Lytechinus pictus: one gene and its partner. The protein of the gene in region 2 purifies or fractionates together with the protein of the main gene of each other region. This does not show direct contact. Links are inferred from orthologs where the notes say so. Each region holds a gene or a part of one and is shown on either strand. Other genes may lie near its edges.

Region 1 (17,274 bases), about 12 Mb from region 2:
TATTTTATTACAAATCAACATGAAGAAAACTGCTCCAGACTTGAAGTACTGATGGTTATAGTGGTATGATGATGATGATGAAATTAATATCAATGATGGATGATAATAATACACATTTTATTGTTCAAAATAGAATTCAGTAACAGAAATGCTCCGAAAATTTATTTTGCCCATACCCTGTAGATCGTGAGCCCGGCAGCAATTTAGCAGCGCCACACAGTCAGACGTTGCTCTATCCCTTAAACAGGGGAGTTCACCCCGGAGAAAAGTTTGTTGTAAAAACAAAAGAAAATATGATATAAAAATGATATAGGTGGATCCATCAAAGATATTAGAATTTAAGTTTTTGATTTGTGACGTCATATAGGCTACTGTACGAGCAGCTGCCCCATTATGTTGTGTGATATAAAATGCATAAATGGTTCATCATGGGTATTTTTTAATCTTTCTGGAGCGGGTGTGAAATCATTTGTTTGTTGATATACCGAAGCTTCAATAAAAACATTTTGATTTTTTTAGGAGGCTACATTTCATTTATTTTGTACTATAAGAAACATGGGGGAACTGCTTGCATCTGACGTCACAAATAGACCAAATGAAATTCCAATAGTTTTTTAAATATTTGATGGAATTTCCTCAAACCTTCAATATTTTTTCATTATTTATTGTTATTGTTTCAATAAACTTTTTGTCAGGTTGAACTTCCCTTTAATTCGTTGACCGCCAAACAGGTTAGAAGGAACTCCCCTCTTTTAAAATCTTTTGGTCTGATGCTGTCGGAGCTTGAACTCCCGATCTCCCGATCGAGAGGCGAACATGCTCCCATTGTCAGATTGTCGAACACACGATGGTTATCCAAAAATGCAAAATTTCAAAATAATAACTACGTTATAATTATGATACTTATTTTTTTAATGAATTTTTTTATGGCAGCCATCTTGGATTTCAAGATGGCTGCCATAAATTGGATGAACATTAATGAATTTGAGAGAAGTCTATGGAGATCACAGGGAAATCCCAGTTGTGGGCGATTCCATCAAACTTAAAACACGTGTAGAAAGCAACTCGGACGCAAAAAGAAAGCCTATTTTCTTCTCTTTCGACTGATGATACATATATTTTGATTGCTTGAAAACACTTGGTTATTTACCATCTAATCAAAAGACACATAACATAATTTCACCCAAGACCACAATAATATATGCATGTGCGTATGCCCGTTTTTATACAGTATTCAATGGGGCTTCAGCAATGTGCCCGTACCGCACGTTCCAGGCACAAATTTTGTGTTTCATTTTTAGCCATCGAACCCATGACGATATACATTGTTTAGCTCAAAATTTTACATTTTCTTGTCGAAAAATTATGAATTCCACGATATATAATTTGCAAGAGAAGTTCAGTTGTTGAAATCTATCATATGCGATATAGCTCCCATCGTTTTGCCTGTAAAACGGGAAATCTACGCAGTTTCAGACTCGTAGCAAGGATTGGCGATAGTACCATGACAAATCTGTGTGGTGGAATAGTGTATTCCATGGAGGGTGAAATCAAGCTCATACAACAACGGTAACCCTTCGCACCCATTGTTCACCTGACATGTATATCTACCATGCACCCCTATCGACGTGTCTTTATGTATTGGTGATACGCTTAAGTGCACTCGAACGTTTGCAGTGAAAGGGAGAAGAAATTTGAGGTCTTATTTTTCGATATGCATGGCGGCCATCTTGGATTTCAAAATGGCGGCCGACCCGATGGTCAAATCACTTGGGGCCGGCAATATTTAAAATCAGCACCCCGAATTAAGCCTATATGCCAAATTTCAATACCGCAGTTCACATAAAAATGATTGCAATAATACATCATGGCGGCCATCTTGGATTTCAAGATGGCGGCCATTTTGCCTCTGACCAAATGGTCGAATTGCTGGGGCTGGCAATATTTGAAATCAGTGCCTCAAAATCCTGTAACTGTGCCAAATTTTAGTGTCACATGTCACGTAAACAAGAAAATTACATTAATGATTTCTCTTGGCGGCCATTTTGGATTTCAAAATGGCGGCCGACCCGATGGTCAAATCACTTGGGACCGGCAATATTTGAAATCAGCACCCCGAATTAAGCCTATATGCCAAATTTCAATACCGCAGTTCATATAAAACTAGAGAAAATGATTGCAATAATATATCATGGCGGCCATCTTGGATTTCAAGATGGCGGCCATTTTGCCGCTGGACAAATGGTCAAATTGCTGGGGGCTGGCAATATTTGAAATCAGTGCCTCAAAATACCCATATATGCCAAATTTCAGTGTCACATGCCATGTAAAACTCAAGAAAATGACATTTAATGATTTTTCATGGCGGCCATCTTGGATTTCAAAATGGCGGCCGACCCAATGGTCAAATCGCTTGGGGCCGGCAATTCTTTTAATCAGCACCCCAAATTAAGCCTATGTGCCAAATTTCAGTACCGCAGTTCATATAAAACTCGAGAAAATGATTGCAATATTATATCATGGCGGCCATCTTGGATTTCAAGATGGCGGCCATTTTGCCGCCGGCCAAATGGTCAAATTGCTAGGGGCCGGCAATATTTGAAATCAGTGCCCCAAAATACCCATATATGCCAAATTTCAGTGTCACATGCCATGTAAAACTCAAGAAAATGACATTTAATGATTTTTCATGGCGGCCATTTTGGATTTCAAAATGGCGGCCGACCCGATGGTCAAATCGCTTGGGGCCGGCAATTTTTGAAATCAGCGCCCCAAAATATCCCTGTATGCCAAATTTCACACTTTCTGCCAGATCCGAGCATCTTGGCCATTTTTTGTCACATAACCGCTCCACTAATATGAAGGTTTAAACTATAGTTTTATATTTACACAGATCACACATTAAAACTTACAGCAGAACATTCAAAGTATTCCAGTCCTTTGCCTTTGGCAAATTCTTCAGCCTTGTTCCTCTCTACGACTCTCCGCCCTTCAAGGTCAATCTTGTTGGCTACAAATACACCTGGCCAAGTGAAAGAGCACATTGTAGATAAATGAGTAATCATATATCTTGGTAGGCGAGTTTGTTTCCAATCTCAGAGTCTCACATTAACAGATGGCATGTTTAGTAAGGAATATTGATGACCGACATACTTTAAAGTTATTCACTCTTCACTTAGCATCAAGAACCAAACAGCCTAATAGTTTCATAGCCAATCAAATCATCCACCAGCTGTTTGATCCTACATCCTACAATGGATACGCAACTACTTCATTGCCCCTGAGCATTGCACGTTGCCCCAACTATACAGTTCACTATGTATATATTAGCAATTTAATGTAGTTCGGATACTTGGATAGATGATTTTAAGGCACTAACAAAATATAACAGATTAAAGAATGATATCCTCTGATGTCAAGTACATTTGGTATTTGGTGCCTGTATTTGTATTCAGTGGAAACTCAGCAAACAACGAATTTGCAATGATGGAATCATATCTCACCTGGGATGTGCTGTCCAGCTTTAGCTTTGACTCGTTCCACCCAGCGGTTACATGCAGTGAAGCTGGTTTCATTTGTCACATCCATCACCACCATCATCACTGATGGATGCTCCCACTTCAGAAGAAGAGAGGAGAGGGAGGAGAGGGATGATTGGAGAGAGAGATGAGAAAGGGGGAAAGGAGAGAGAGACAAACGGGAGAGAGGGGAGAGCCAAAAGACAGAGAGGGGGGATAGGGGGTCAAGAAGGCCAAAGGGGGTAGGAGGTAGAGATGGGGGAAGAGGGGGGATAGGGGGTCAAGAAAGGCCATAGGGGGTATGGGGTAGAGAGAGAGGGCAGGGGTTAGAGATAAAGAAAGATAAGAAAATGGGAGATGTAGAAAAAAGGCAAAGGAATGGAGATGAAGAAAGAGATGGAGGGATGAGGAATGTACAGGATGGAAAAGGAGAGAGGACAGGAACATACAGTAAGAGGGGAAGGGGATATAAAGGCAAATTATATGATCCTGAAGATTAGACTAAATACATTTATATTGTATCTGAGAAGCATGCTGAATGTGTGACTTGGTAAAATATTATTTTTTTAAAAGAAAACAATAACTATCATTCCTTTTCAAAGTCTAACAGACAGGCAGGGTTAAAATGAATATCACACTTCACTTGAATCAACAGCGTTCATAAGTAAGCAATACTTATACATCACAATGCCACAAGAATAAATTGGAGTATCAAAAAAATCCATGAAGGTTCATGACATTAGGGATTGAAAATGTTAAAAGTAAGAAAGAAAGAGCAAGACACAACATAACGTCTTCTAAAGTGCGACTAATGTTTTTGAATTTCTAGAGATCTGAAAGCAATTTGCTTCTTCTTTTTAAGATTCACATAAGGGTACAGTATAGACCTATCCAATAGCCAATATGCATTTGGCCATAATCAAGGGTAGATTTGCTCCTGAATTTCTCTATCAAGAAATATAACTACATCTGCACGATCCAAGAGTTGAGAGCAAACAAGCTAAAAGAATGGGGCAGTATAGAATTTTGTGTTACAGAGTACATAAACTTTGTAATCTACATAAATTATACTTACTGCTTGCTGAGCATAATCAAAGAACATCTCTTTGCCTGCCGTATCATAGATGTACAATTCCTTCATGAAAATGAAAACAATATCAAAACTGACATCAGTATTTAATGGCAGTACCAAGGAGGTAAATTGGAAAGACAAGATTAATGTCATATTTCTCAATGAGCAAGAAAACAAGCAAATTGATTTTATTTCAAATATAGCTTTGCTAAATTAGTTATTCCCATGTGAACAGCCAAATTTTCTGATAACTGACACACTAATTGTTGCTCATCGAGTTCGATCTTCTGATTATTTTCTTCACATATTTCATCATTTTTTTCCTCAAAGGGGTGATTTTATTCTTCCCATGCACATCTATCCCTAAACAAACTTCTTCAATGAAAGATTCAAGTTAATAGATTTGTTTATATTACGCTGAATGATTAAGTAAACTATTTCCTCTTTTGTGACCTTCTAAATTTGTTTTTACCCAAAATTGTTATTTCCAGACAATATTATGAGAACATGAATCAACACTGGCCATCTTGTCTCTCTTCAATCATTACATGAATATTCAATTAACAATTTGAATCTCTATATTGTTCCATATTTAAGAAGCACATTTTATAACACCACCACCCCCCCCCCCCCATAAGGACAATTTGCAACAAAATCACAGCTGTTTGGATGTTTATTGTATTCGCGTGGTCGAAATGTATCTTGCATTTCCTTTCAAAAATATGTTATATCTCATTTACTTGTCATTAACATACTGGACATTCATATTAATGCCCTGCATTAACATTAATGAGTCATGACCTGGGCTTATCTAAATCTTTATCACGTTTTATAATTGGCAAATTTCTTGCACTAATTATTAGGATGTTGATTATCATAACATCAAATTATAATGTATGTAACAATGTTAAGGTTATAAGGAGCCAGTTTCACAAAACTGTTCATAAGTAATGACTTTAAGAATAACTGAAAACTTATTGCCAAATAAAGTTGTTCACTTGATGCTTCATCAAAGTTTTAAAAAATGCCTCCCAAATCACCAACATTTTTTGCAAATAACATACTTTACATTTCAGGAAAAGGTTAATTCATGTGATCGTATTTCGATGTTGGTTGATGTAATTACATTTTTTAAGAACATTTAGATAACTTTCAGAACATTTTTATGAAATTGCCCCAATTCTCTTTTGATACATACCACTGTGTCACTCGTGTCTGGAATGCTGATATTCTTGACACACAGTTCAACTCCGACAGTCTAAAATCATGATGAAAAACAAGCAATAGCATTAATAGGCAAACAAACTTAGAGAAGTGTGATATTGTCTATTGACTAGTTGCTTTAAGAGGGCTAAAATTGAATGATTCGTTTATGTATTTAAACTTTTAGTTCAATTTCAATTTCAATTTATTTGCTCATAAAAATCCATACAAAAACATACATATACAAAGTATCATATTCACAAAATAGAAAAAACAACAACAAATAGAAACTTTGGATTGAATATGAGAGGGACAGCAAGAGAGGGACAGCAAGAAAGGAACAAGCCTTGTGATTAGCTGACCCTATAACATAATAATTATACAAAGACTTCAATAACAAAGATAGAAAAAAATCACTAAACTACAACAAAGGGGGGGGGGTGCCTATAATACCTGAATGAAATTTATACAAACTCTATGAATTACTATTTAAAGTAAATTACCTTGATTTTGACTTAAAAACATTTAATGAAACTGATTGCTTGATGTCTACAGAAACAGAATTCCAGAGTTGTGGTCCTTGAAATAAAATTGAGTTTTTAAAAGATGAGAGTCTTGGCTTAGGTAGATGGAAATTCTTTGCATTTCTTGTGTTGTATCCATGGAAATCACTATTGAACTTAAAGAATGTTTTGATATAATCTGGCAAGAGGTTATTGTTACATAAATACATAAATATAAGAATTTGAAATGCATGAATATCATAAAATTTTAATACATTCAATTCAACAAATAGAGGATTCGTATGGGCAAGGTAAGGAGCATGAGACATAATTCTTATTAGAAAAGGCATCACAAGATATTCACTGTAAAATAAATAGTTCTTGTAGCAGTTGTCGCTAGAACATATGCCATCAACAGCTCTATATATTTGCCATTTGTCTTTTACAACATCAAAATTAATGAATAATTCTGAAAATTTTAAAATTAATGTACTAACCATTGAATAACCTTTTGGAAAATGGGCTCCATCACTGTGAAATACCTGGGTCAATGCACTCTTTCCAACAGCCGAGTCTCCTGCAAAGGCAAAACATTAATAATACAAGAAAGAATAAATAAATTTCTACTTTCTTCAATTTGTAGAAATTGATGCAAAGGGTAGAATGGGAAGGGCTAATCAAGATTTCAAAATGGAAGTGTGCATAGGGGCTGTTGATAAACCAATTCACTAATATAGACCATCCAAAATTACTCTTCGTTGTATAAAAGTTGAATTATCAACTGATCTAAAAAAATAGTTTTTCATGGCTGGGCTGAAAAAAAAAATCAAAATGGTGATAAAATATAGTCTTATACTAGATCTACTCTCATTCGTGGGCTGCACAGTTGTTGCTTGTCATTTCAAAGCGAAGCAATCGACCAACTTTCATGTCAATAGGGTGAGAAGTATCGTCATGATGGTGGCCTATTTTTTTTCAATTTACATTTTTATTCCTTCCCCAAATCACTTTTTGAATGAATCTTTCCCCAAATGTCTCTGACTCTGACTTAAGAACGGCCAGCGGACCAAAGGGTAACCCCTGCCCCCCCAAAAAACCTTACATGTATCTTTCACTGCCTCCCCTTTTCATTATCTTCCATTGTAATAAATCCTGGTATAAAGATAGAGCTAGACTCTAGTAGTCTAGAGCTAACGCGTAAACGTTCGAGTTCAATCGGCGCAATTCGCAACAACATTCACATGATCACCAGCACACACTGACACAGAAGTAAATATTCGGGACTGCAATTATGCATTTTGCTTGGACAAACGCGCCGATTAGCATCTCTTTAAAGAAACAACACAACTCAAATTATTTCATTGATCTGATATAATCAGCAACCGGTATTTACTTACCGACTACGAGACATTTCGCTCTTAAAGAAACTGGCATTCTGGAAAGAAATTATGAAAACGTATCCCTGACAACACGACGCTATTTCTTCTCGACGAGATCAAGAAAATATTTGGAGCTGCACTTGTTTTACAATTTAATCATCGTGTTGTGTGCGGTGTTAGGACAGTTTTGTTATGCCTGAGAACGGATACCAGTCTTTATATCCACCAGCGATCGAAAACGGCTATCCTTCATAATCAATTATTTATAAAATATCAATTTTTCAAAGAAGAAACTTTGCCTGCATTTCCCAGAACAAAGCACAAACAAAATAATGTACCCTACTGTACCGTATAGAGATCTAGTTTTCTGTGATTATTTTTATTTCTCTTATTTATTAAATTATCTCTCGCCCGGATCTCTCGATCCTGCAAATCTTTCTGCTTCCATAGGGATTATTTCCCTTTTATTCTAGGATCTCCTCTATCTGAAACAGGTTTCTCCCCAAATCTACATTCTCATTTAAATTCCCCCTTCCTCAACACTCTCGTTTAAAGTCTTACAATGCTACTTTTCCATGATGTGATTTATACCGAACAATTAATTTCTGAGACGCATCCCCCTTCTCTGTCGACGTCTCCACTGTTTTGCAACCTCCAACTTCTCTTGTGTATTATAATTGCTCCCTTGACCTTTGTACGACTTTTCCCCCCTTTTCTCATTTCATATATTACAATACAACCGTTTCTAAATGATCCCTCGGCATTTCACTAGACATAATTGCTCCCTTTTGTGACTCCGGTCGTTTTTAGAAACGCATTTACCCTGATCTCTTTCATATTGTCCACACTTTCATCATTCCTTTTCTCCATCTTCTTCCCTTTAAGATATTTTCTCTTTGTCAGAGCACTAATTTATTGATCCATCCCCTCATATGCTTGAGAACGACCAACTCCAACTATTTCCTTATTTGGTTGTTTTCTTTCATTTCATGTTTGGAAATCCATTAATCCATTACCTTTCAAAATTAAGAATGAGATCTATTTCAAAAATATATTTGTCTTCTCTCTTCACACATCTACAATGCTTGTAAATTCCCCAACCCGTATATAGTCTGCCCTCCTTCGGATCTCTTTGCCATTTTGTATATTTCTACTCATTTCATACTCTTCAGCTTATTATCTCCACCTTACCATCTTCATCTCTTTCTGTATATTTTCCCATTTCTATACCTTTATGATCTCTATTGGCATGATAAATCAGCCCCCTCCCTCTCATTCTCTAATATCTGTCTCTTGCTCCTTCTTTCTACCCCCCCCCCTACTCTTTCTCTCTTTGAGAACCAGACTGACCAGATTTTGAAAGTAACATGAGACATTCCATCATGGAGCAGTGCATGCAATTGTGCACAAAAAACTGTTCTACGTCCCAAATTGATGTGCATCATCATGAATGCATGCATTGATGTAACAATAATAGAGGTACTGAGAACACGGAAGTCGAGAATGACTTTGAATTTTCAATATCTGAAAATTATTTTTCATCTACATGTATTATGTTGTTGATACATGTAATAGATTTCTAAAAATTAAAAATAAATAGAATGTTAAAAATTTGTGAAATAAAGTTCCAGAGAGAATTCTGGGGATGATTCATATGGGGTGCAGGAGGATATCTGGTCATCCGGCTCACAACACAATTCAAATTGAGGCAAAGACACATGAAATGAAACACAGGGGTTGTGGAAACGATTCTATTATTGGTCATTCCAACAAGGTCTATTTTGAGCACACACCAAAAAAGAAAAAAAATATGCGTATTAGGTTTCATCTATACATACACTGTCTCGTATTGTTGACATATTGAAATTCACTCCTACTGTTACATCCAAATAGATTTTGCCAAATCTTTTTCACTTCCTTTAAAAAAACCTTTTCTCATGTCCTTTACCATCTGCCTTTTCTTTGACACTGTTAACACACACACACAAAATCCTACTGCAAATATACATAAGTTTCACATTGCTATCAACTTTTGCAGGGAAAAAGAGCCATTAGTCTACTTTGACAATTCCTGTTTTCTTACAACAAACTACATCTCAAATTTTCCAACTATGGAAGCACAATTTGGGTTGATAAAGAGAGAATAACGTTGGAAAGATGTGGCCAAGTACTCGATGATTTAAATATAGCTTATTTCTACAGCCTGAAATGTATCAGAAGGCGAAATGGGTAGCACATGGTTTGCATCCAACGTGCCAAGAATATTGGAATATTACAATCATCACCATCCTATACTGATAAAATCCTCCTTTACATTATTGTCATTTTAAGAAATATACTTTCCAAAACTGTATATCAGAAATCAGTATAATTACTAACTGTTCTTACAAACTACATCATAATGTGATATAATGTCAATTCCTACTCAACATCAAAATCATTATCACAATATCTGAGCTTACAAATCTTGTATATTTCCCAAAAAATTGCAGTAAATAGCATGCAGCAATGGGGTTTTCCCCTTTATTTTACCTTTTTTCAAGATCAATTAAGATGCTTAATTGGGACAGTATATATCATCACAGTGTCTTGATTAGAGAGTATTAATTCTTGAGTATTGTTAAGTATTTTTCTGGTGTAAAATGATGGGCAAACAAGTACCACAAAGTGTATTATTTAAAAAAAAACATGCAACTTTGGAAATAAACCTTTTCAAACATTCAATTAAATAGAAACTACCAATTGGTGAAATATTGTGTAGTATTCTGGCCAGTACTGACAAAGCTTATGCTATGGCATAAGTCTTTTTTTTCTTCTTTGAAAATCCATTGTTTCTTTAATTAAAGTATAATCTTGAAAGTAATACACCAAGCATAGGCTAAAAATGTACCAGTTTCTTTGAGGAAACAAACCGTAGCTTATACATGAAAAAAGAAATATGGGCAATGGTTTGCATTATGCAAATATAGCACTGATAACACTTATTCTAGTCAAATAATCTAAAATCATTACTGTTTAAATTGCAACATTGCTATTTTGTACTGATTACTGAAGACATAAGTGGGACATTAGGAGTACACTAAGCTTACAAACGTAACCTGTTTATTTCCAAGTATTCCAATATTATTAACAATTATTAAAGTATAAATATATATTTGATAATTATGTCAATTTAAAAGAATCTATGAAATATCAAAAGAGGTGGATTATTACATTTCAAAAACATGTTTTGATTGTCAGACACTAACAAAATGAATGGCATATATTGTAACATATAATCTAAGTAATAACGTAAAGAATTTAAAGAATACTCCTTATGCAGATTAAGGTAATATTAAGCAGTTTATCCTTTTGTTAAACATGTACTGCATCAAAAAAGGCATATATATGCTAGAAGGAAGTGCAAATATAATACTTGTTATTTCTATAAACCATTCTTGTTCCAATCAGGCTAGATTGTGATGTCTCAGATCTCTATGAGAATGAATGAGCATAATTGGGGAGCATTCATCACAAAATAAAAAGAGAATGAAGACAATTTTGAAAGGCTTGAGATGACATGGTCCATGGTTTTTAGTGACTATGTTCAGAGTATTGTCCTTTTTTTCAAATCAGGCACAAAGGGTATATGACAGTTTTAAATACATTACAGAAAACAAAAGAATCAGTACCACTCCATAATTAAGTACTTCAATCAAAGAATTATAGTCATTTAACATGAATTAGAAAACATACTGGCAGGGTTTATCTTAACTATCAAATAGTCTTTCATTCATAACGTCTCCCATCTGTTTCATCACATCCGATACACTCACATAAACATGTTAAGTCAAGAAGAGTATCAAACAGAAAGTTTTGAAGAAAAAAAATCAATGTGACTTTTACAGAAATGTGTGACGACATTTTAAAAACGATTGACAAATATCTTTAGGTTAAAGTTGCTTGTACCAGGCACATCAAGTTGATTTTTCACAGCAAGATTTGACAAGACTTAAATAAAGTGTTTCTCTTTAGATTCTTAAAATTTCCCATACAGTATATTTCTTTGATTTTGGTTATCACAAAGCTTTGTATAAAGTTGTTAAGTCAGCAATTGGTAAGTATTGGCAAGTTCAGTGCGATCCATTTCTATTTTTCGGTCTGCAGATACATTGCTTAAGTTGGTTCTTTTTTCAATCCTCGCTACTCCAAACATCAATACACAACAAAACCAGTGCCTATTACTACTACACAATTAAGCTATCAAATACAGCAGCATTAAAAAAATAATAATGATAAAGTATTACAATGAAAATCAGTTTTCCTCCTCGTATATGAATAAACATTTGCATTATCCCCCTCATGTTATTCCATTTGTTATAAACAGAATTATTCTCTAAAGTTGCATTTAATAGACACACAAAAAAAGGAAATTAAACATTAAAATTTCATATCATAAAAAACTTTACACTAATACAATCTTTCAGTTATTTCAAAATTTCATTGTCAAAGAAAAAACACAAAAATACAAATTCTTCCGTTAAATATAGATTCAATCTTTCTATTTTTTTGTTTTTGTTTTTTTCTTGTTGACATATTTGAGTGTTGGGATGGTTTAGAATTACTTCAATTTGGAAGCATAGTTTACTAAGCAGGCCTCTTTTTATTACAGTATTTTTTCATGTTGATTATCACAAATACAATAGTCATAAAGATATACGAGTGTGAAAGTAGTACATACAGAATATAAACCGTTCAAGATAAACTATCAAAATGGTTTCTTTACAAGTTCAGTGCATTGCACAGTAGCTACACAAAACTATTCCTAAACTGCATAGCATGTGCCTTCAAAACATAAAACACATTTGCACACCATTATTTTTTTTTATATTTTTTTCGTTTTGTTTTGTTTAGTTGAAACTTTTGGGTTTTTTTTTTTCAAATCAATCACAACAATTACAACACACAATGAATTTCAAAGACATATTTCATACTAGTATTGACACTAATTGCTTTTCATTAACAAGGCAGGTTCATCCATATTTTTTCTTTCTCGATATATTCTCGTAGCCACACAGAATTTAAAGTGCATAACTGAAGATCATATTGTACTTGTAAGACCATATGAATTCTATTAAAACAAAAAACAAGTCAAAGATACTAATGACAAGTTGAAAATAAAGGATAATAACTGAATAAAAGATAAAATAGATTAGTAGGTTTATATCATCTATAACTAATTTAAAAAAAAAATTTGTCTTCACATTGAGGTGAATGTTGGTATCTGATTATAACCTGAAAAATCAATGATACTTCTCTTAACATTTTTAAATATATTTCCCAATTTTGTGAATCTATATTTAGGTTTTAGGAAAAACTCTTGGGGTCTCATTCATTCCATTTTCCAAATATCATTTGGTAATGTGAATATATTATATTTTATATTTGATTCCCATCCCATTCAATTACACTAACAGTTGCAGTTGGTTAATGACCATTTTTACAAAGATTATTATCTTAATTACCAATATGTATCTCTATCTAAGTGTGCTTTATTTATCGATTTTAAAAAGCATAACAAATCTATTTGGTAAGAAACATGTCAAATTGCTTTATATACACAATATGACGAGCAGCCTGCCAAGAGTGAAAGATGGATATATATATAATATATATAGTACCTGAAACGACTGTAATACCTGCTAAATTGTGCTACATCAATCTAAGTCACTACACAAAACTATAAAGACTACAAAGGGCCTATAATAATAATACAAATAAATCAACTTCACACTGTACTCTCTCCTTTGGAGGGGTGATAACTTGAAACAGTCCCCCACCCGCTCTAAAACAACCAAAACAAAAATATGGTTAATTACAGTATACACACATATTCAAAAACAAACATGCACATTTCATTATAAGCATTACAGTAAAGTATCATGGTTTGCAAAATATTTGTTTTATAGGGAAAGACTTTGAAAAATCAATCAACTCTTTTTTTTTAGTTTTTTCGTTTTTTTCTTTTTTTTTTTGCATTTGATTTTCTGACATATTGTGTAGACTAGCACCGTCAGATTGAAGAACCCCTTTTAAATATTATTTTGGGGGTGGGCAAGTAATAACGGTACATTCATATCACTATACAAGAAAAAAAAATGTGAAACACTATTAGCTAATTCTTTGATTACTACTTCTTTTAAGTTCGTGAGTTATATCCCACATTGGGAATCTAAACTTCCAATGGATCCTTCTTTGTTGTGGAATGCATACAAACAAAATACAATAATTATTAAAAATAAAGAAGTTAATGTATCACTTTACATGTATGTTGTGTCACCACTTTGAACTTATAAGCATTAGAATTCTTCTCTTTTTTTTTGGCAATTTTATTGATATACATATCACAAAAACAGTGATCGCCAGAGGCATAGCAAAACAAGAAATATTTCCTTTCATTTCAATATTAGAGAGCTGCACATACAGGCGTGACCTTCACAAAAATGCCACAGGAGAAAAAAATACTAAAATGCACTTCATTTTAATTGTCTTTGACATATACAATACACATGCATTATCAATGAACGGATTATCTTTACTGCAACACTTTCAAAAAATATCATACAAGTGAAAAAATTGAGAGAAGCAAAATATAGTATATGACATCAAAAAATTAAATTTTTCAAAACGTTTCTTACGAACTACATATTGCCGGTTATAAGTAGGTCGTAAAAGGGATTTTATACACAATACATGCTCTTATTCAATTTTTGAAGAATGAAAAACAATTGTACAATATATGTATACTTGGTACAAGATGGGTAAATGGCTTGAAAACACACACAAGGTCTTTAAACAGCTACCACTAAGTTTGTACAAATACCCAAAAGAAAAAAAAAACACTTTCATCATAAAATTCTATACTTTAATGTTTGAAACCACCCTTGCTTTTAAAGGAGTGCTATTTGATATTCCAATAGTTTACAACCTGGCTTAGATACAAGTGAATAAAACTTTTATGCAATCATACGTGTCCGTAAAATTCACACACACTCAACATCTTAATAATGAAATAATACTTATACATTGGTTAACCCTTTCTCACATTTTTTTTTATTATCATTTTTTCATCATTTTTTTTTTATTTTTTTGAAAATTTTTTCATCACATTCTTTTCCAGCATGGAAGATAAGTTCTCAAATATTCAATCTTGGACATAACACAGACACACACCCGTAGTATGAAAACAAAGAGTATTTATGTCACTCTATATCCAGATAATTACCTTCATAAATTATCATGATTGCGTTTAGAACTGATCTGTACCATCAAGGGGCACATTCTGTGTAAGGTTGATCACATCACGCCTTCCACATTTTATTTTCATCATTTTCAAAAAATCTCAATTTACGACATTCAATTGTAATCAAACATTCATATAAAGTATATAATACAAGAACTTTTCCTTTTTTTTTTTTTTTTTTTTTTTTTTTTGCTTACCAGTACAAAATTAAAATCGCACAAGATTGAACAGCCATTTTCGTATAATATAAGTATATAATCTTACATAGACTGTATAAGACTAAGTGAATAAGGCATTTAACATATCAGGTAGATATTATTTCATTCATTATCATTGGCATCAAGAACAAAATTGCACCCGACATAAAAAACAAAAGTCGGTATTTACTCTTTTTTTGTCTTTTTTTGTCTTTTTTACATTTTTTTCTTTTTTTTTACATTTTCATTTGTACTTTACAAGTTACAAATTGCCTATTACACATCTTTTCTGCATAAGGGCACAGAGACTAGTACTACGGAATGCCTGTTGAATACAAGTTACATAATGTCATAATGTTTAAATGGCTCAAAAAATGTGAGTTTAGAAGACTGCCAAGTAAATTTCTCTTCATTTCATCACATAGGCACTAGTAGAGTATGAATTACATATACATAAACACAAGCAATGGAAGTGTACAGTTCGTTGTTTCTCGCACTAGATTTTTCATATATAGATATATATAACTTACTCTAAAAGTTGTCACCTTGTCTTAATAACCATTGTAATTCAGGGATAAAATGTAAACAACATCCACAAGAGTACCATTGCATTCAATTTCACCTCTGGCTATTTTTTTTTTCTTTAGTAACGAGTCAACACACTACATATATTATTTGCACAATTTTAGTTTTACAGAACAGCTACATTTTTTGGTGGTAATGAGAATAGGTGTCAATAGTGATTATCTCTTTCCGTGGATGAAATAAATGATTTCACAAGGCAAAATAACCCCCAGAAACAATGGAATGGACAGCACATAAAAATGAACCTTGGAAAACAGACATTAGCACTGATTAAAGTGAGTCCTGGATAAAATACAATGAAAGCATAACAAGTGATAGGGGAATAGGGGAAGAAGAGAAACAATATTCAACGACTCTGTTCATGACTTCAACAATACAAATGCGACCACAAAAAAAAAGAGTTAACAGTTGGAAGATAAAAAGGCCAACTTGGCAGCACATCTGGATATTGGCAGGAGGCATGTCTTACACACTGTGCTCATAGCGAAGACAAAAAATTGAAATAAAATATATTCAAATTAGAGGCATATTCAAACCCTATTTCACCCTCTAATAACCATAGATTTTACTCCCCCAGCTGTATTTTACCATTCGTTTTAAAGCAAAATGTTAAAAAAAACTAATAAAGTAGTTGATTTCTGTCAAAGTATATTTTAAATTATCTCAAATACCAAACCATCTTGGAAATTTACTTTTATAGCTGAAAACTTGTAGCTCATGAATTTAGAATTAAAAATACTGATTCCTAAGCGCATTGGTAATGATTCTAAATGTTTAAAACACTTGGCAGAGATGTGACAGAGTAAAAATTAACAAACCTACGAGTCAGACGGATAAGAAAGAGAGAAAGAAAAAAAATTACACATATATTACCCTGAGAAAACAACAGGATATTTTCAAATTATTCTCCTTTTCACTAAAAATAGTCTTAAAACAGATACCTACAGAACAAAAAGTGTATGTGAGCAGCCACCACAAAGCACTGTGATAGATTAGAGGAAAAAAAATAAAACACAAAAACATTTTTAAAACGGACACAAAATGATGGATTTCAAAGAATACATTCAAACTTCCTTCTTTTTTTGCATATTGACTCATGGCCATTTTGAGTTGCAATGTGACAGTAATGAGGAATGCGAGACCAAATATCACAAATTTCAAGTTCAATTTAGACGACAGTACTGCAGTGATAGCCAATGTTGTCTTCATTTCGAAATTGATTGATTTCACAAACAAAGAACAATTCAAAATAAAATGAAATCAATAAACAGGTCCAAACTAAGGGACACAAGTGAAATATGCATCAGCTTATATTTATTTTACTCTACAAAGTCCATAAAATGTAGTTTTAAATGCAAGAGCTATGAAAAAGAGCAATTTTCATTTCTATCTTTAATATGTTGCACTAACAAGGGAAATTTTAGCATAAAATGTCTCTGTTCACAGGCATAGTTGAAACAAATATATATATCTCTCAAAATATATAATGCATTATATTCTCAAGATGGTTTCCAAACATTTATCATGGAACAAAA
Region 2 (16,674 bases):
GTCCATGCTGGAGAGAGAGGGGAGAAAGACACGGAGAGCGGATGGGTTAATGCTTGTGAGACGGGTAGGGGATGACATAAAGGAACGGGATAGTTTAAAATAATACTCGATAATGCGTCTTCAGATTGATGCCAGGGCAGATCATTTTTTATCTGATTTAAAAAAATTATTTTCGCCTTCATCCTGTTTTCAGAATTTTCATATTGATTGTCTGTGCATGGAAAATAACTGGCAAACTAAAATCTTCATTTATGATTATACTTCATTAATGATTATGTTGATTTTATCCCTCAGATTGTTCTTGCTTTTGGTAACTACATGAACAGCAGTAAAAGAGGACCAGCCATAGGATTCAAACTTGAATCTTTACAAAGGGTAAATATTATTTATACAGTAGATTTATAAAAATGAATTCGGCAGATGATGAATCAGCCTGCCTTACGAAATGTGAAGTCTTCTTGACAAAAGTATCATATAGAGAATAAAAACACAAAATTTCGTGTAACATTCGTCTGGAGAATTTTCAACGATGTAATTGTTCAAGCAATAAGATTTGTCCGATACTGTAGACTTTGAATACTCCTGCTATATATCACACTGCAGTAGACACTTTCGGCCAAAGGTTGTGCTATTCAGCCATCTTCGAGCCCACAAGAATTTGTAAAAGTGTGGTCGTCTTCGCAAGCGAAAGACAAACATCATCATTCAGACAGAAACAATCGTTATGAACTCTGCAATTGCTTTGAATACTGGCGAATAGTTTCGAACAATTATTATCTTCAGTTCCTTATCAATAATCGAATACTCAATGTAATCGGTGCGCAAAATACTTTTATTTTCACCGCCCCCAAATTTTGGAATTCACTCCATAAAGATGTTCAACAGGCCCCCTCTATCCACACCTTTAAGAGAAAACTAAAAATATTTATGTTACTGTCTTACCAAAGTAATTAATTAGTTTTATATTTTTAGTATTGTCTAAGCACGCTATTAAGTCACACTCTCTTTGATCTACGTTTGCACTCTCGTTCTTGCCCCCCTCTCTCTTTCTGACCCTTTCTCTCCACATAATCTGCGTGTGTGTGTGCCTCCCTCTCTATCTGTCTCCCCCCCCCACTTTATCTTTGCCCTCTCCCTCTCTCGCTCCCCTTTCAGTACTTTATTCCTTCTCTCTCCCCTCTATTCTTCGTCATGTCTTTGTTTTCTTTTTAGTTTTTTGTATCGTCCCGTATCTCTTTCATCTTTTTATCATTTCTCGCTATTACTCACCATCTTATTATTATTTCCAATATTCTATTTTAACTTATTGTATTTACACTTGCGAATAAATCCCATTTTTCAAATGTTTAATATACTATCTTAGGGGATCCACGCTCTACAAGCAATGCTTTTTAGTGGATCCCCTCATTTCCATATCAGATTCTGTTAAACCTATATTACAAATGTTTTGGAACTTGTAGTTGATTTGTAATCATTGTTATCATATTTCATTTGTATTTGTTTATATTTATAATGTATGTTTGATTTGTATTTGCTTATAATGTTGCTAATGGAAATGGAAAATAAAACTTGAACTTGAACTATATATTCGTCTAACCTTAACAAACCATGGATTCGTTTTCTGTGTTTGACCAGTTGACGTTCGTGAAATCATCGGATCGTAGTCATAACTTCCTTCATTACCTGGTTGAAGCTGTTAACCGATGTTACCCAGAAATCAAGAATTGGTACAACGACCTTCAATTCGACGATCTCAAGTCAGGTATTTCTTTCTTCACGATAAATACATTTTTCCTTGTACATTTCCTTGAAAATATGAATGTTCGTCGTAATATGTTGTGAGGAGAATGAAATTAAACACTTTGTTAACAATGATAATGCTCAATCGATATTTTCCGGTCAAGAGAATTGCACATGTTTCTTGCCTCTTTAGCCAATCACAATAAGGTTTCAATTTTAGTTACAATAATGGCAAAGTTACACTAGTCATGTTGTAAGTCTTTACAAAACGGGTTCCATGTGAAGGGGATAAATCTGAACATTATTTTGATTCCTTAGGTTTGGACTTCATTAAAAAAATCAATTTGGAATCACATAGAGATGCAAAGCATATTTCTTTGAAAAAAAGTCCTGATCAATGATTCCTATCTGTTTATCATTTAACAGGATCTCTTGAAGCACTGACTATGGATATTCAAGGATTACGTAAGGGCCTGGAACTTGCCAAGTTTGAACGAGAACGACAGATGGACAATCCTATTATTGGAATATCCTTTGTAACAACCGACTCTTATATATATTATATTTAGTTATTTAGTCTTAAAGTTATTCAATCACTTTGAAATGAATAAGTACTTCCCTGACATAGCACATGGCTCTGGATGTTTTGTGGATGTTATGTATTTGAATTGCTCTGCTTGATACCCATGGCCATTTCTTCCATTTAATATCTTAGATATTCTTTTAGCTTTATAAATTAGCATTATAAGGAAGTCAAACGCATGAATAGTTGCAATTCATCATCCCCTATCTTTCCTCTTGTAATCATCGTCATCATTAACAATCATTATCAAGTTTCTGCGTCCCCCTTGAGCCATCTTCGGTGAAGTCCTTGTCATGAAGCATTTATCCTTGACAGCTCTGTCCACCAGTTCTATGTGGGTGCTGCAGACACCATCCATGCACTCTCTGAAGGTTTCAAGAAGATGGAAGAGATCTACCACTACACTACCAAGATGTTTGGTGAGAATGGAGACCATGTCGAACCAATCAACTTCTTCAAGCTCTTTAAAGACTTCAGCGGCCAGTATCAGGTAAGATACCTATGTATTAATCCAGAATTTAAAGGAACGGATGCGTCGTTGTCTAGTGGTTCTGATCCTTTTCTTTACAACGGATGGAGATGGGTTTGAATCCAGACCATGTGTTTTCCTTCAGCAAGAAAAATACCAAATTGTGCTGCAATCGACCTAGGTGATGTGAATGGGAAGCACTATCTTTTAATAAACATTCATTGTCAATTAACTCTTAAATTCCTATTATCATCAGGAATCCGGAAGGGGGGGGGGATTCCATTTCGCTATATTGGTAATAGGCCAATATCCTTCTAAGCTTTTTACCCTGTCGTAATGTTTATTTGCTTGGCATTGCCGGTTTGCATTGGTCAAATATTATTGTCTTTCTCTTCTTTCTTTTTAAGGCTGCTGAGAGAGCAAACAGTAAAAATCCGATTGAGGTGGCTCCTAAACGCAAACCAGCAAAGAAAAAGGGATCATACAACCAGCAGTATGGATTACCAACACAAGAACTGCCTTCTGCCGGTATCACTGGTCGTCTAGGGCTCTTCCGCCGGTCAACCCAGAACAAAGGCTCTTATGAAGTCAAAAGTAAAGCAACACCATCGACAGCCACGATACCGGACGAATCGGTGACGAACTTGAGAAGAGATTCGCCGTCGTCCTCCGACTCGGGTATAGCGTCGATGGCGTCGTCGGGCGACAGTGGTTCGGCGCGGAGCATCCCGTACGTGTCGGTGGATGGTAACGATTCATCGAAGACTGGAGGGGTTGTCATGACAGCGAATGGACATGGTAATGCGCAGACGGCTGGAGGTGAGGGTGGTGGCGGGGACAAGGCTGCAGATGGGAATTCAAACTTCTGGGGAATGTTCAGCTCATTGAAGTGAAATCGTCTCCGGCAAAACTTGTGAAGACATTAACCTTGTGCCCTGGTCTAATGTTTTGAGAAGGTTCATTCTACATCATCTTCGCGGGAAGAGCTAATGTGTGCACTTTCTTCTGACGATACCAATCATTCAATAAGGAAGATTATGATGTAACGTTGTATTATGTGAGATTTAGTACATGTCGACAAGATCTATTTTCTATTTTAATATGATGGCCCTGCTCTTATGGACCTGACTATTTCTGACATTCAAGACGATGGTCACTGTTGAATATAAGTGTATTTCAAGGGAAGATTATGTATTATTATGGGTACTAGCTATGGTCTAACAGTTGGTCATGGGGATAATGTACGAATGTGTGAGTGGGTGGATATGTACTGTGGCTTTTCGTATGCATTTGCGCGCGCGCTTGTATAAGGGTGCATGTGTATGGAAAGAGGGTTAGAATAATGGAGAGAGAATATGTTTCATTAATAAATAAGTGATCCTTTAAGAATGTTTCCTTATGAATTATATGTCCAGTGATATCATTCTTTAAAAAGAATCTATACCAATAATTCAAAATCTGTGATATTGCTATCTCATAGTTATTAAAAAAAGTATTTTATTTTCCAGAAATAGTAATGGCATGTGACTTGTGATTGCTGGCTTATTTTATTCGAATGGATTGACAAAAATTAGTTAAAACCTTTATGATCAACTAATAATTTTGCATTCATTTGGGACTGCAGCAGGATTTTTTTTCAGTGAAAAAGCCCCCTCGTAGCCCTTTAATTTTGTATACCATTTTCTATTGAACAACTAAACTATATTATTTAAGATGAAATATTTGAAGTTGGAAATATAGCTAAAAAGGGTAATTCTTTTGTAGAAAGATTCTTTCTACGAAGACCGAAAAGGGAAAATGAAAGAAATTATTCCATTATCAGTATTCAGCATCACTGGTGTATCGATGGGGGCTAAGGGCACTTGCCATCACTCCCCAAAATGTCAAATTTCACCCCATGATCCCCTAAAATGAGGATAAAAATAAAACAAAGGGATATTCCAGTATCAGTACTCGGATCCATTGGCCAATGTTGGCGTATAGATGCAATACCCAAATAAAAAGTTCTCACTACCAAGAAAAAAAAGAGAAAAGGAAAAGGAAAGGGAAAGGAATGAAATACGATATCATTTTCTTTATGTTGTGTAAAAATGTATTCGATGTTGATGCTTGTTTCTCTTTTTTCATATTAAAATTTCGTTTGGATGGACTTGAAATTGAAATACCTTAATTTTCAACCTTATGTTCCGTTTGAATAAGAACGTAACATTTTGTATATAAGTCTTCCTTTTATCCAAAACAGTAAGATATTATATAAGATTATATATTCGCAAAAGCAATTCATCCGATATTATGTATGTGATCTATTTATAATGCACGCTGCTCCATGTACATAATGAAAAAAGGGGAATAGATTTATAGAATTATATTATTCTTCATGCTTTGCAGTATTTTCGAGATATTGTAAATATTACTATAAATAATGTTAAAAAGATAATCTAATGGTTATTGTATATAAGATGATGTATTATGATTTATATTGTGTAAAAACACGTGACAGTTCATGTATTCTTATCACTTCCCCTTGGGAAAAAGGGCATTGTATTCCGATTTTTGTTCTGAAATTCTAAATTAAGCCTCTTGGCGTTCGGTCTTCTAGAGGCAGATTTACAGGCCCCAATACAAATTTTTATGTTTGTTGTATGAAAGATTTATAAATCGAGTGATACTTGTAATGTACTAATCAGCACGCAAACACTCAATGTTATTTGGGAGCGAAATATAGGAAAGCCTACATTGATTGATCAGAAACAAAAGATGGATTATTTTAATCTTCAAAAGAATTTATTCGGTATCAGTCATATCACAATGACAATGGTACATCCACTCAATCAAGTCGGTATCAGTTATACCTCTAATGATACATCTATTCCCATCCGATTTATTTCAGAAAATGTGTAATTTTGTTGTGAAATTGCCGTAATCGGTCACTCTACACATATTTATTTCATTACCATGATTACTGTACTGGAGGACTGGTATACACTATTAATGACCAGATTCTTAATAAGAATGACCGGATTCATTAAAGGGGTACTCCTGGCTGAAATGATATGGTTTGAACATCAGACAAACAAAACACTGAAAATTTGTTCAAAATTGGACAAGGAATAACAAAGTTATGCCATTTTAAAGATTTGCATTATTCCAGTGAAATACAGTTCTAGGCATGTCTTCATGAATATTCAATGAGCAAACTGATGATGTCATATCCTCACTTGTTCTTTTGTATTTTGTTATATGAAATTATGTTTATTCATTTTTTTCCTTCAAGAACCAAAAATATTGTAATAACAACTGATTAAGTGCATTGGATATTCATTGCCGCAGCTTATTTTATTACAAGGGAGACATAATTCACACATGTATGAAAAAATGAAACAATTATGATTTCATGTAATAACATAAGAAAAGGGAAAATGGGGATGTGACATCATCAGCCCCATCTAATGAATATTCATGACGACGTGCATATAACTCTTTTCACAATATATTACTAAACTTTTGAATTCAATAACTTCGCTATTTGTTATCAGATTTTTATGAAATTTTCAGCATTTTGTTCTGTGAGTTTTACTCTATTTATTTAGATATAAATATTTTCAGCCCGGAGCATCCCTTTAAATCAAGTCATCTTAAGTAAAATTCAATCATTTTAATACAATCTTAGCAATCTCTATAATATTTGTAATCCATTTTTAAAATGATATTATTTAGTGTTTTGTTAGTAGAAAAAGAAGTTTTGTTTATAAAACTTTTTTGCATTTGTCAACAAGCCTTATCAATAGTTAAAAAGGCTTAAATAGAAATGTTTTCTTAAATTGTATCACTTTAAGAAGTTTAAGATGATGTAATTCAATTAGGACACAGTGAAAAAGGATTTTTTTTCTGATAGGTTGGTCTTTACAGGTCCCATGAAGTATCAACATCCGAGTTAAAACCCTTATTAAACGTGATTAAAGAGAGAGAAAAAAAAACAAGCAACTTTTTATAGGGTTGGACGTTCCTTTAACTCGTGATTCCAAGTTTAACAAAATTGAATATTTCACACGGCTTTGTTCTTTATTGCAAGAGAGAGAAAATTAATCAAATTTGAGTGGTTGATATTTTCATATCTTACCTCTCTAAAGTACAGATGGGGGCCTTTGGGGCCCACTGTTATTATCCCAGCAAGTTACATAGAGAAAGAGCAATCAAGCTAGGATAATTCTGTTCTAAATATTGTTATTCTAAAGGAGTTTTGATTTGGCAATGACAATAATGCCAAAATAAACAGTAATGTCAATACTGAAGCCTACATGATATGTGAGCTTTATTTTCACGAAGACTGAAGAGATATGACGAGGACTAATAATTAAGGCAATTAATACCAGATAGAGAGAGATAGAGGGGGGGGGGAAAGAAAGGGAGAGGGGGGAGTGGGGGGAGGTGTGAGGGGGGCCGAAACCGAAGCCAGAATTGGAAAGTATCCAGGATTTTCCAAGAGGGAGGCAAATTTTCCCTTTTAAAAATTGACAAGAACAAAAATAAGGTCATCACTTGTGTATGAACGACATTTCCCCATTAAAAATACTCGTTGTGACTCTCAAGGGGGGGGGGGCACACTTATTATCAACGGCATATTTTCATTGAAAATATTGACTATGAATCTTTAGGGGGGCACGGGCTGGTTGTGCCCCCATGGATCCGCCACTGCACATAATTCAAGATGAGAATGAATGAATGAATGAACGAACGAACGAGTGAATGAATGAGCGGATAAAATTAATGAACGAGGGCCGGTTGTGCCTCCCATGGATCCGCCACTGCACATAATTCAAGATGAGAATGAATGAATGAACGAACGAACGAACGAGTGAATGAATGAGCGGATAAAAATAATGAACGAGGGCCGGTTGTGCCTCCCATGGATCCGCCACTGCACATAATTCAAGATGTGAATGAATGAATGAATGGATGGATGGATGGATGAATGAATGAATGAATGAATGAATGAATGAATGAAACGAACGAACGAACGAACAAAAATGAACGAATGGTGAGTCGACTCCAAGGACAGGCTGTCGTGTGTTTAGGCCCTATAAGTCACCGAAAACAACTCTATTGATAAATTTCACAAGATCAATAAAGAACGAAAACAATTATTTGCAATTAGAATATACTGGATTTGAGTGAGAAAACGCATTTACAAATGAAAGATGACAGGTAGCTGGATTGTTAAAAGCAAAAAAGTAAATAGTTTAAATGAAGCTAACGAATCACGGAGAGATAAACGAATGGCAAGGGGGCAGAAGAAAAATTTTGAAGGATTTACAAAGTTTAATTAAAAAGTAGAATTAAGAATTGAGAGGACTTGAGGGAAGGGATGGGGTAGGAACGGGAAGAGAACAAAAAAAAACAAAAAATATATACTTTTCTAAAAATATCCCAAGCGTATACTCCATTTAATTGCATTTTCATCTCATTCTTACGACACTAAAACCAATGTTGCTCTGAAAATTTGGCAAGCGAATTCCAATACTGGTCCGATATTTCAGAAATTAAAGAATTTATTGTAAAACTCGTCTCATAGTTAATGAACGGAGACTTTTCTCTGTGAAATATGAATTTACTTGATTATTTTAATATTGATGCCGAATAAATATCAACTCAAGGCAAGGGCACGCGTTATTTTTAATCAGTAATAAAAGTTGAAGAGGTAGGCAATTTTTTTTATTTTTTTTATAGCTTACTGAAGAAAACAACTAAATAGTTCACCTTTCATCTTGGACATTTTGTGTCCTATATTGTTTTATTCAACAACTCAAACAAAAGCACCTTGTTGCGGAATTTACAGGCATATAAATAATATTTCAAGGTCAGAAATATACGATAGTACAAATGGAACTTGTAATAAAAAATAAAAAAATCTTTCGAAATCGGAAAGGGTGATTCTTGTCTTTATCCTGGTGAGTCATTTCGATGTCTTATGCCGTGTAGAGGTTGTGACAGTACATAACTATTCGCGTCAGATCTTAACTTGTAATTTTTTTTTTCAATCAAGTTAGTTATTACAGCAATGAGAATGAAAAGGAAAGAGGCAAGTAAAGAAAATGAAAATGCGATTTATGGACAAGATGAAGGGGTGATAAACCATATAGTGGACAACTTGGTGAGGGGGCAGTTTCTATACTCCCGAAAAGATGATTTAATGTTTTGTCAATGCCTTATTGCACGAAAATATTGCACTTTTGATATTAAATGTAAATAACAAACACGCATCGTATGTGATGATTAAAAACCTTGCAGATGTACAGGACAGCCCCAGAGCCACCTCAGTCTCTGATGAACTCAATAAACCTGCATTCAGCATTGGATGAGCGCCATCTACGGTAGCGTAGGGTAACTATAGCAGCATTCTTTCAGCGGTGATTCGAGATCGGTCAAAATGTCATACAGAGATCTGAGAAGTAAGCTAAATTTTCATGATATTGTGAAATTATTATATATTTTTTGATAAAATGTTGTGTAGTGATTTACATGAGATTGATTTTCATACAAGAAATCAACGATAAGACTTTCAGATTGAGATTAAGGGCAATGACATGTTGGGTATGTTGTGGAATGATGTTTACCGTAAATTGAGTTGCGTGTTACCCGTACCTACGGGGCTGGGTGTGTTCGGAGATTACGGATGTTTTTGTGTAGGCCTAGTTACTAGTACAATGTCAATGTAGGGCCTAGACAGCTGGCAGCCGTCTGTTTCGAGGAGTTTTTCAACATTTTTTTATTTTTTTGATTTCTCCTCGTACACAGACGGCTCGCTAGCGTGTCGCCACCATTACTACAATGCAAATTCCCCCCGACGGGGCTCATCGATTTTTGTCTTTATTTCATAAATATAATATATATATGAAAATAAATGGACAAATATGCGAATTAATTATATATTCCCTCTTGGCATTAATTGCCAAAAACGAGGGAAAAATAAAGTTAAAAGGAAAAAAAACAGCGACTTACCTCGGCTGTCGTGTAGTTCCTACTCCTAGTTCACTCGTTCATCCGAAGTCGATATAACACACAAACATATGCCGTTGGAAGAACTTCCGGGTCAACTGCGTATCAAAACCATTGGCCAATCAGATCATCTCTTTTACGTCGGGTTTATGAATACTAAAATTCTAGACGTTTTTTTCCATTTTCCTTTATCTCTTTCTCTTTCGTTTTCTCTCTTTTTTGTTTTACTTTTCTTTTTATTTTTTATTTCCCCTTTTTTCTTTTGTTTCTTTAACTGCTCCTTTCTTTTCCTCTTCTGTAATGTTGACGTAAAGGTCATGGGGCGGAGTCTGACTTTTGTCGGCCACTTTTTCATGAATTATTCATTACCAAGATGGCTGCCCACTAGTCCGAGTCGCAAGTGTCAACTTTCAGAGTTAATCCCCTGATTACCAGTTTTAAAGCGGGAATTTAGGGTAAGAAACTGTCGTTACTTATACATTTTCAGCTATAGGTGCATATGTATGAACTTTTGGTGGAAAATATCGCGGTATCGAGGAGAAAAACAAGAAATTAGCTGTGGCCATTGAGCCCCTGTACAGACGACGGTTTAACTTCGGTCTATGTATTTGGTGAGTGGAGCCAACGTAGTTCAGCGGAACAACCAACATAACAGAGACCGAAGCTTTTGGTCTATGTAGGGCCGGGCTACAGCCTACAGTACCTAGATCTATGTCGCATTGTGACATCCGCAGAGCTGCCAAGTAGTGGTTTTCAGTAATTATTACTGAAAAATGAGAAAGATTACTGGTGGTTTCATCTTACTCTTCTCAACTCTTTAATAGTTTATTCTTCCCCCTCCTGACCTTGTCACTTCTTTACTTAGTTAAGTTTAACTAATTCTTTCTCAAACTTTAAGAATTTCTTAATCTGTCTTCTCCCTTTCCCCTTCTCTTCCTCCTCCTCATTTGCCCCTTGTTTTTTTCAGTTGTTTCAGGTGAGATTTCACTTTTCTCATGCTCTGAGACTCTAATTGTATACCCAATTGCTGTGTGTTCGGACAGGTTGTGTGGCCGGACGATTGATTTCAAACAGCCATTTGAAAAAGTTAACAAGCAATATTTCATCAATTTTTAATGCAAAGTCTTAGCCTTACTTAGGCAATATTCAGAGAACAAAACTGAAAAGAGTTACCACTATTGAATTCATGTTTTTTTTGGTTCAATCCATACCATAGAAGTGTCCGGACACCAGCAGACCTCCATCCTAACAAAAAGCTCCTGACGACCTGACCCCTTCCCACATAAGGTCTCATATAAAAAATAAACTGATAATTGTCACATTCTCCCTGTTTTTTTTTTCTGTAGATTTTACTGAGATGATGAGGGCGTTGGGTTATCCTCGCCTCATATCCATGGAGAACTTCCGTACCCCAAACTTTGCTCTCGTAGCTGAGGTGCTCATATGGCTAGTCAAGAGGTAAGCCATTAAGATGATACACAGCATTTATGTTGCACCATATTTCTGTTAAAAACATTCATAACATGTTGGAATTATGTTCTGTCATTTGTTGCTATGTTTTTTCTTCACTTTATGTTCAGATTTTTTAAAAGCATTTGAAGAAAGATCTCTAGCAGTTACAATTAAATTGAATAGTTTAATTATTATTGTTGTAATTTTTCTGTTCCTTCTTTTTCTTGCATACAATTCACAATGAGGATTGTCATATAGTCAAAACATTTTTTTTATTTGGACTTGTACATTAACTTTGTTGTCAAAACTCGTTTAAAAATTATGTGTATGATGAAAGAATCTTGATGACTAACAGTCCATTACATGAGTATGAATTTGATAATCTTTTTTTTTCTCTCTTAGTGATACACATAAGGCATTTTGAAAGTAAAGAAAAATAATGAGAGTTTTAAGTTGTAATTCTATGCAGGTCCTGAAGCGATGCACTACCTGTTGCAAGTAATTTTCAAAGGCAAATTGTGACTGGTGTGGGACAAATGATTCATATTCTACATGTACATGTAAAATTTAAATTTCCTCAGAGCCATCAATCATTTGCAAAATACAGTGAAAGACTTTTTAGTGGTTTTGAAGTTCTATATTCTTGAATGTTTTATTGTTTTACAATAATAGGAATAGATCCTACACATTGAGGCACAGGAAATGCTGTTTCTTTGAATGAAAAGTCTAGTACAAACCTTTAGGACCCCTTCCAAATCAAATGACAAAATAAAAATATGTATGGAAAAAATGGGAGAGTTTTCCCTTTTTTCTGGGAATTTTTGTGCAATTTTCTTCTTGGATAATGATTTTCGGAAAATTTTACTCTGATTTAATTTCGGTATTAAATCTAAGCAAATATTTAAATTGTCATAGTTTTTATTGTCCAGTAACTAAGTGCCTAGCTTTTGGTCTCACAATCTGATATTGTTTTTTTTTTTAAATCTCTGTAGGTATGATCCTAATGCTGATATTCCTTCTGACACAGACTCAGAACAGGACAGAGTTATTTTCATCAAATCAGCTGCACAGTTTATGGTAAGGGATCATGTTTTACAGAAATAACAATTTGAGAGATCTTGTAATGGAGGAGAATGATAAATAATGCAATCATTTATCTTAAAAAGAAGGAATTACCCTTCATAAATGGTAGGCCTATTCATTTGCTAAATTTATAGGATACCCTTTCATGGTAGCATTTGAAAAATCATACCTGTTGAATAAGTGATTTTCTTTTGGCGGGTATTTGTTGATGTGCTTATAGATATATTGTTAATCTTATATATACTTTAATAAAAAAATCTTTTCCCTGAGTTTAAACAATTCAGGATAGTGAGAGCAGATCAAGAGGCAGAGGTGAGATTTAGCAATTGTAACCTTTCAACAAAACCTATTTATCTTTGAAGGCAACCAAGGCACATATCAAACTGAATACAAAGAAGTTATATCAGGCCGATGGTTATGCAGTCAAAGAGCTCCTGAAGGTCACGTCAGTGCTTTACAATGCAATGAGGACAAAGGTCGGAGGTCAAGATGGTGATGATGATGATGGGGCGTCAGCTATGTCATTTGACATATCATCAAAGGTAGGTCACAATGAAGGGGTTTTCAGTATTTAACATGTATTTGTGAAATCTTAATTATAATTGTAATTTTAAAAAGGATTATTGCATGGGTCACTGATTCAGAAGCAAGCTGATTACCTTATACTAAAATAGTAATGAACCATTGTTTTTTGTTTATATTTATTTAATTTACCAGAAGCATTTTACAATATAATGAAATGACAACAAATTTCATGGGAAACTAAATAATATACATATAACAATAAACATTGACAATAATCAATGCCTGGCGATTACCTGCAAATTATTATTTTTTTTGAAAGGATTTTCTCATTGGTTGTTGTAAGCTTACAAACCAAGTGGGAAATATGAACATGGCAGTAGTAAATAGTTCATATAAAGAAGGAAGAGGTATGCCAAAGGCATGCCAAATGCAAAACGAATGAATTTGAGTCTTTAAAGAAAAAGGCAAAATAAGACAATAGAAAAATATCTCATATATGTAAAAGAATACATTGACAAAAAAACACAAAAATGTACTATTTTAGAGAATGAGAGAGATATGTCTTCAAAGGATCCTTGAAAAATCTCATCTGTATCAACATGTTTAAGATAGCAAGGTACATGTAGCTTATTCCAGAACTCTGCGATAGCTTGTTAAAATGGTCTTGCACCATAAAGTTTGTGCACACTGAGTGAGAACAGAGATGGCATTTTGAATGAGAGTTTAGGTTCCTTGCAGAACTTGTTATTTTAACCCTAGTTCATATGGCCGGGGGGGGGGGGGGGGCCTCCCAGGCCCCCCTTGAGATCTCGAACGCGATCGCGCTGAAAATTGGCACGCGGGTTGTCTAGGACATAATCTACAAAATTGTATAGTAATTTATTTCATGCGAATTGCTATAAGGTGATTATGCTAATTTATGCGTAATTAGTATGCAAAATCATATTTTTTCCTCTAACTCCCTAAATAAAGCTCCAAATGTTCCAATTTTTGGTATAGAAACTCTTTGTGGTGTTCTTAGCAAGTGTACATGAACAAAATTGTGATATCAAATCATTTTCTTATGTATTATATTGTTTTTTGCAATTTCTTATGTATTTCTTTGTTTTGTTGACCTTTTGTTTTTCATTGTTTTTTCAATCAAATTTGTTGGGGACTCTTTTAGATCATAAAAAGCATGAAATTAATACATTGAGACCAGCAAAACTAAAAATAATCATACATTTATGATTTTTGGTTGAAAACACAATTTGCATTGACTTTGTACTCAAAATCACGTTTTTTAACAAGTTTTGGTCTGACATGCACTTACATAATGTTGCGTAATTTCGGAACCATGTACCCGGTGACGCAAAATTGGTCTCAAAAGTTGCCCAAGACTTGAAAGTAAAAAGTCAGCGAGCGGCGCGGTAACAAAAATTCGCGCGGCAAAAATATTGCGCGAATTTTTGAGGGGGGGGCTCCGAGGCCCCCCCCCCCCCCCCCCCCGGCCTAGATATGGTTAAAAGCCAGGCTTTCTTCCTGTTTTGATTTTACCAATAACCAATTTTGACATGGGATTGTATCAATTTTTTGCTATATCTGTAAAACACTCCAATATCAAAGCAAAGTCATTTGTAAACTTGTTTTCAAATGACTTGTTTTCATTTTGTATCTTCCTCATGTGTTTCTACTTCTAGATCCAAGATTTGAAAGCCTCCAGACAACTAGCATCAGTGATCACATCAAAAGGGGCTAGTTTATACGATCTTCTGGGCAAAGAAGTTGAACTTAGAGTAAGCATTTTCTCTTCTAAAGAATTACTTGTTTCGGTCAAGTCCATTAATAAAAAAAAATCAATAGAATATACTTTAATGCGTTTAATGTGCATATTGAAATTCTTGAAATATCTGTGTAATATTCTTCAGCACATGTCTTTGCCACTCAACCTCTTTGAAAGATACTTTCCAACATGCCTCATAGTTGTGTCTATAATGAAATTTAAGGACCGGCAGAGTAAGGTTGTTGAGTAGGATTATTGCTGAAAGACGTGGGTCGGACACTTGTCAATTTTTTTTCGAGCCTAAATACCCTAAGTTGCAGATATTGTGACATGTATTTGATGAAAGGCTTCATTTTACTTGAAAAGCAAGTAGTTGATATTTGATAGTTATGACTGTTTTACATTTGAGTTTATCTTTCTATTTTAGGTTGTAACTTGTATTTTCAATTTTCATAGATTTTTTTGTCTGTATAACTTAAATTTGAAACTCACAATTTTTGTGTTTTTCCCTCAGGAAATCCGTACAATGGCCATCAATAAACCTTTAGAGATCAATGAGATTGAGAAAGGTTTACGGAACAGCATCAAGGCTGTTGAGGTGAGAACACCTTTCAAATTTGAGAAAATAATTCATTTTTCTTTGCATAAGTATATATTTTCTTTATCATGTGATTTTAAGATTTTTTTGTGTATTGACTGAGTATTTCTTAAACTTGATGTGGTTTTTGTCACAGCTGTTGATAACCAATCCAAAACAATACATCTTATATTGGTGGCTCCATATTTTCAAACAAATTGATGTTAGGCTTTGCAGCTAAAAAAGGATTCCAAAGTATACCCTATGATTTGCTTCTGATCTCTATCCTTTAAATCACTTCTGTTTTATTTTTCTGAAGACTTATGATGGTTTGCAAGATACTCATGTTCAATTGCAAATCAAATGTAAGTCCCACAATCTAGAATGATTTAGCGTCAAATAATTAAATGCAAATAAAAATGAAATTCAACGTCTAATCAAAGGACTTGATTTTGGGACTAATGCTTGATTGGAATTGAATGTAAGTTTATTGTAATACCTCATATGAGTTAGAGTTGTGATAGGGTTTATATATATATATGAATAACAAAGGGGAGTTTTTCATTGAGCAGCTTGTCAGGGATTTTCACTGACAGATTTGATCTGGGCCAATCAGAGTTCAGTAGCATGTTACAACATTCAATGAAAATCACTTTTACACAAGGCCAAGGCCTTGTGGAGGATTGTTTTGTTTGGATTAATAATCTATGGTTAGAGTCGTCGTTATCTGAATGAATGTCATGAAATGCAATGTTTTGATTTGACAGCAAAATGTGAAGAAAACGCAGAAGATGCTGGAGAATGTGGCATCAGATGAGGCGAACCTTGAAGCTAAGATTGATAAAAAGAAATCCGAGATGGAAAGGAACCAGAAACGTCTCCAGACGTTACAGTCGGTCCGACCAGCATTCATGGATGAATACGAGAAGCTGGAGGGTGATCTTCAAAAACAGTATGAGGTACCGCAAAAACACTTTTTTTTTGGTCAGTTGTGAAGATATCAATAGTGTTTCTTGATATGACTTTTGCCAGATACAATTAGTTTTGGTTCTAAATCTTTTCATTTGAACACATGCTGATATTCACTTTGTATAGATATAACATTGTTTTTTGTAAGTATTTTTATGCATGATGAGACTAGTCACAGCAATGTTTTGTATATAATGTTCTTGACAAATTACTTTATTTGTATCATACATCCACTTTTGAATAGAGTTCATCTCTAAAGGTGTCAGAAATCAACATCAAACTTTACACTTACTTTTTAAGGCTTTGGCGGGTAAACTGCTTTTGTAGCCGGATGATGAAGAAATTCTTCTACCACTCGGATATTCTTTTCTTCCCACCAATGACTTCTTGTGTTTGAGCATTTTTTAGAACTTATTTGAGCAAAGTTTATCTTTAGTCAACAGTTTCTTGTTGATGTTCATTTTAACTTCAAATTGTTAAAGGTATATCTGAAGTATGAATATTTTATTAATTTCATT

Evidence for each region.
Region 1: the proteins of clusterin-associated protein 1-like (region 2) and intraflagellar transport protein 27 homolog purify together in Homo sapiens (affinity purification with mass spectrometry; 3 studies listed by BioGRID and IntAct, with this or other methods). This does not show direct contact. The link is inferred for Lytechinus pictus from reciprocal best matches to the Homo sapiens genes CLUAP1 and IFT27.

What each region holds. Positions count from the first base shown.
Region 1 is NC_087254.1:31,016,465-31,033,738, forward strand, and holds the start of intraflagellar transport protein 27 homolog, read right to left. Parts: upstream 7,925-17,274; 5' UTR 7,731-7,924; coding exon 7,694-7,730; intron 6,874-7,693; coding exon 6,794-6,873; intron 5,849-6,793; coding exon 5,789-5,848; intron 4,654-5,788; coding exon 4,594-4,653; intron 3,619-4,593; coding exon 3,504-3,618; intron 3,023-3,503; coding exon 2,913-3,022; intron 1-2,912. UniProt on the Homo sapiens protein: Small GTPase-like component of the intraflagellar transport (IFT) complex B that promotes the exit of the BBSome complex from cilia via its interaction with ARL6. Not involved in entry of the BBSome complex into cilium. Prevents aggregation of GTP-free ARL6.
Region 2 is NC_087254.1:19,164,553-19,181,226, reverse strand, and holds the start of clusterin-associated protein 1-like, read left to right. Parts: upstream 1-9,155; 5' UTR 9,156-9,219; coding exon 9,220-9,241; intron 9,242-11,134; coding exon 11,135-11,246; intron 11,247-12,232; coding exon 12,233-12,317; intron 12,318-12,685; coding exon 12,686-12,865; intron 12,866-14,527; coding exon 14,528-14,623; intron 14,624-15,124; coding exon 15,125-15,208; intron 15,209-15,954; coding exon 15,955-16,146; intron 16,147-16,674. Other genes in the region: formin-like protein 3, read left to right, coding at 295-375, 1,636-1,762, 2,167-2,267, 2,649-2,813, 3,200-3,685. UniProt on the Homo sapiens protein: Required for cilia biogenesis. Appears to function within the multiple intraflagellar transport complex B (IFT-B). Key regulator of hedgehog signaling.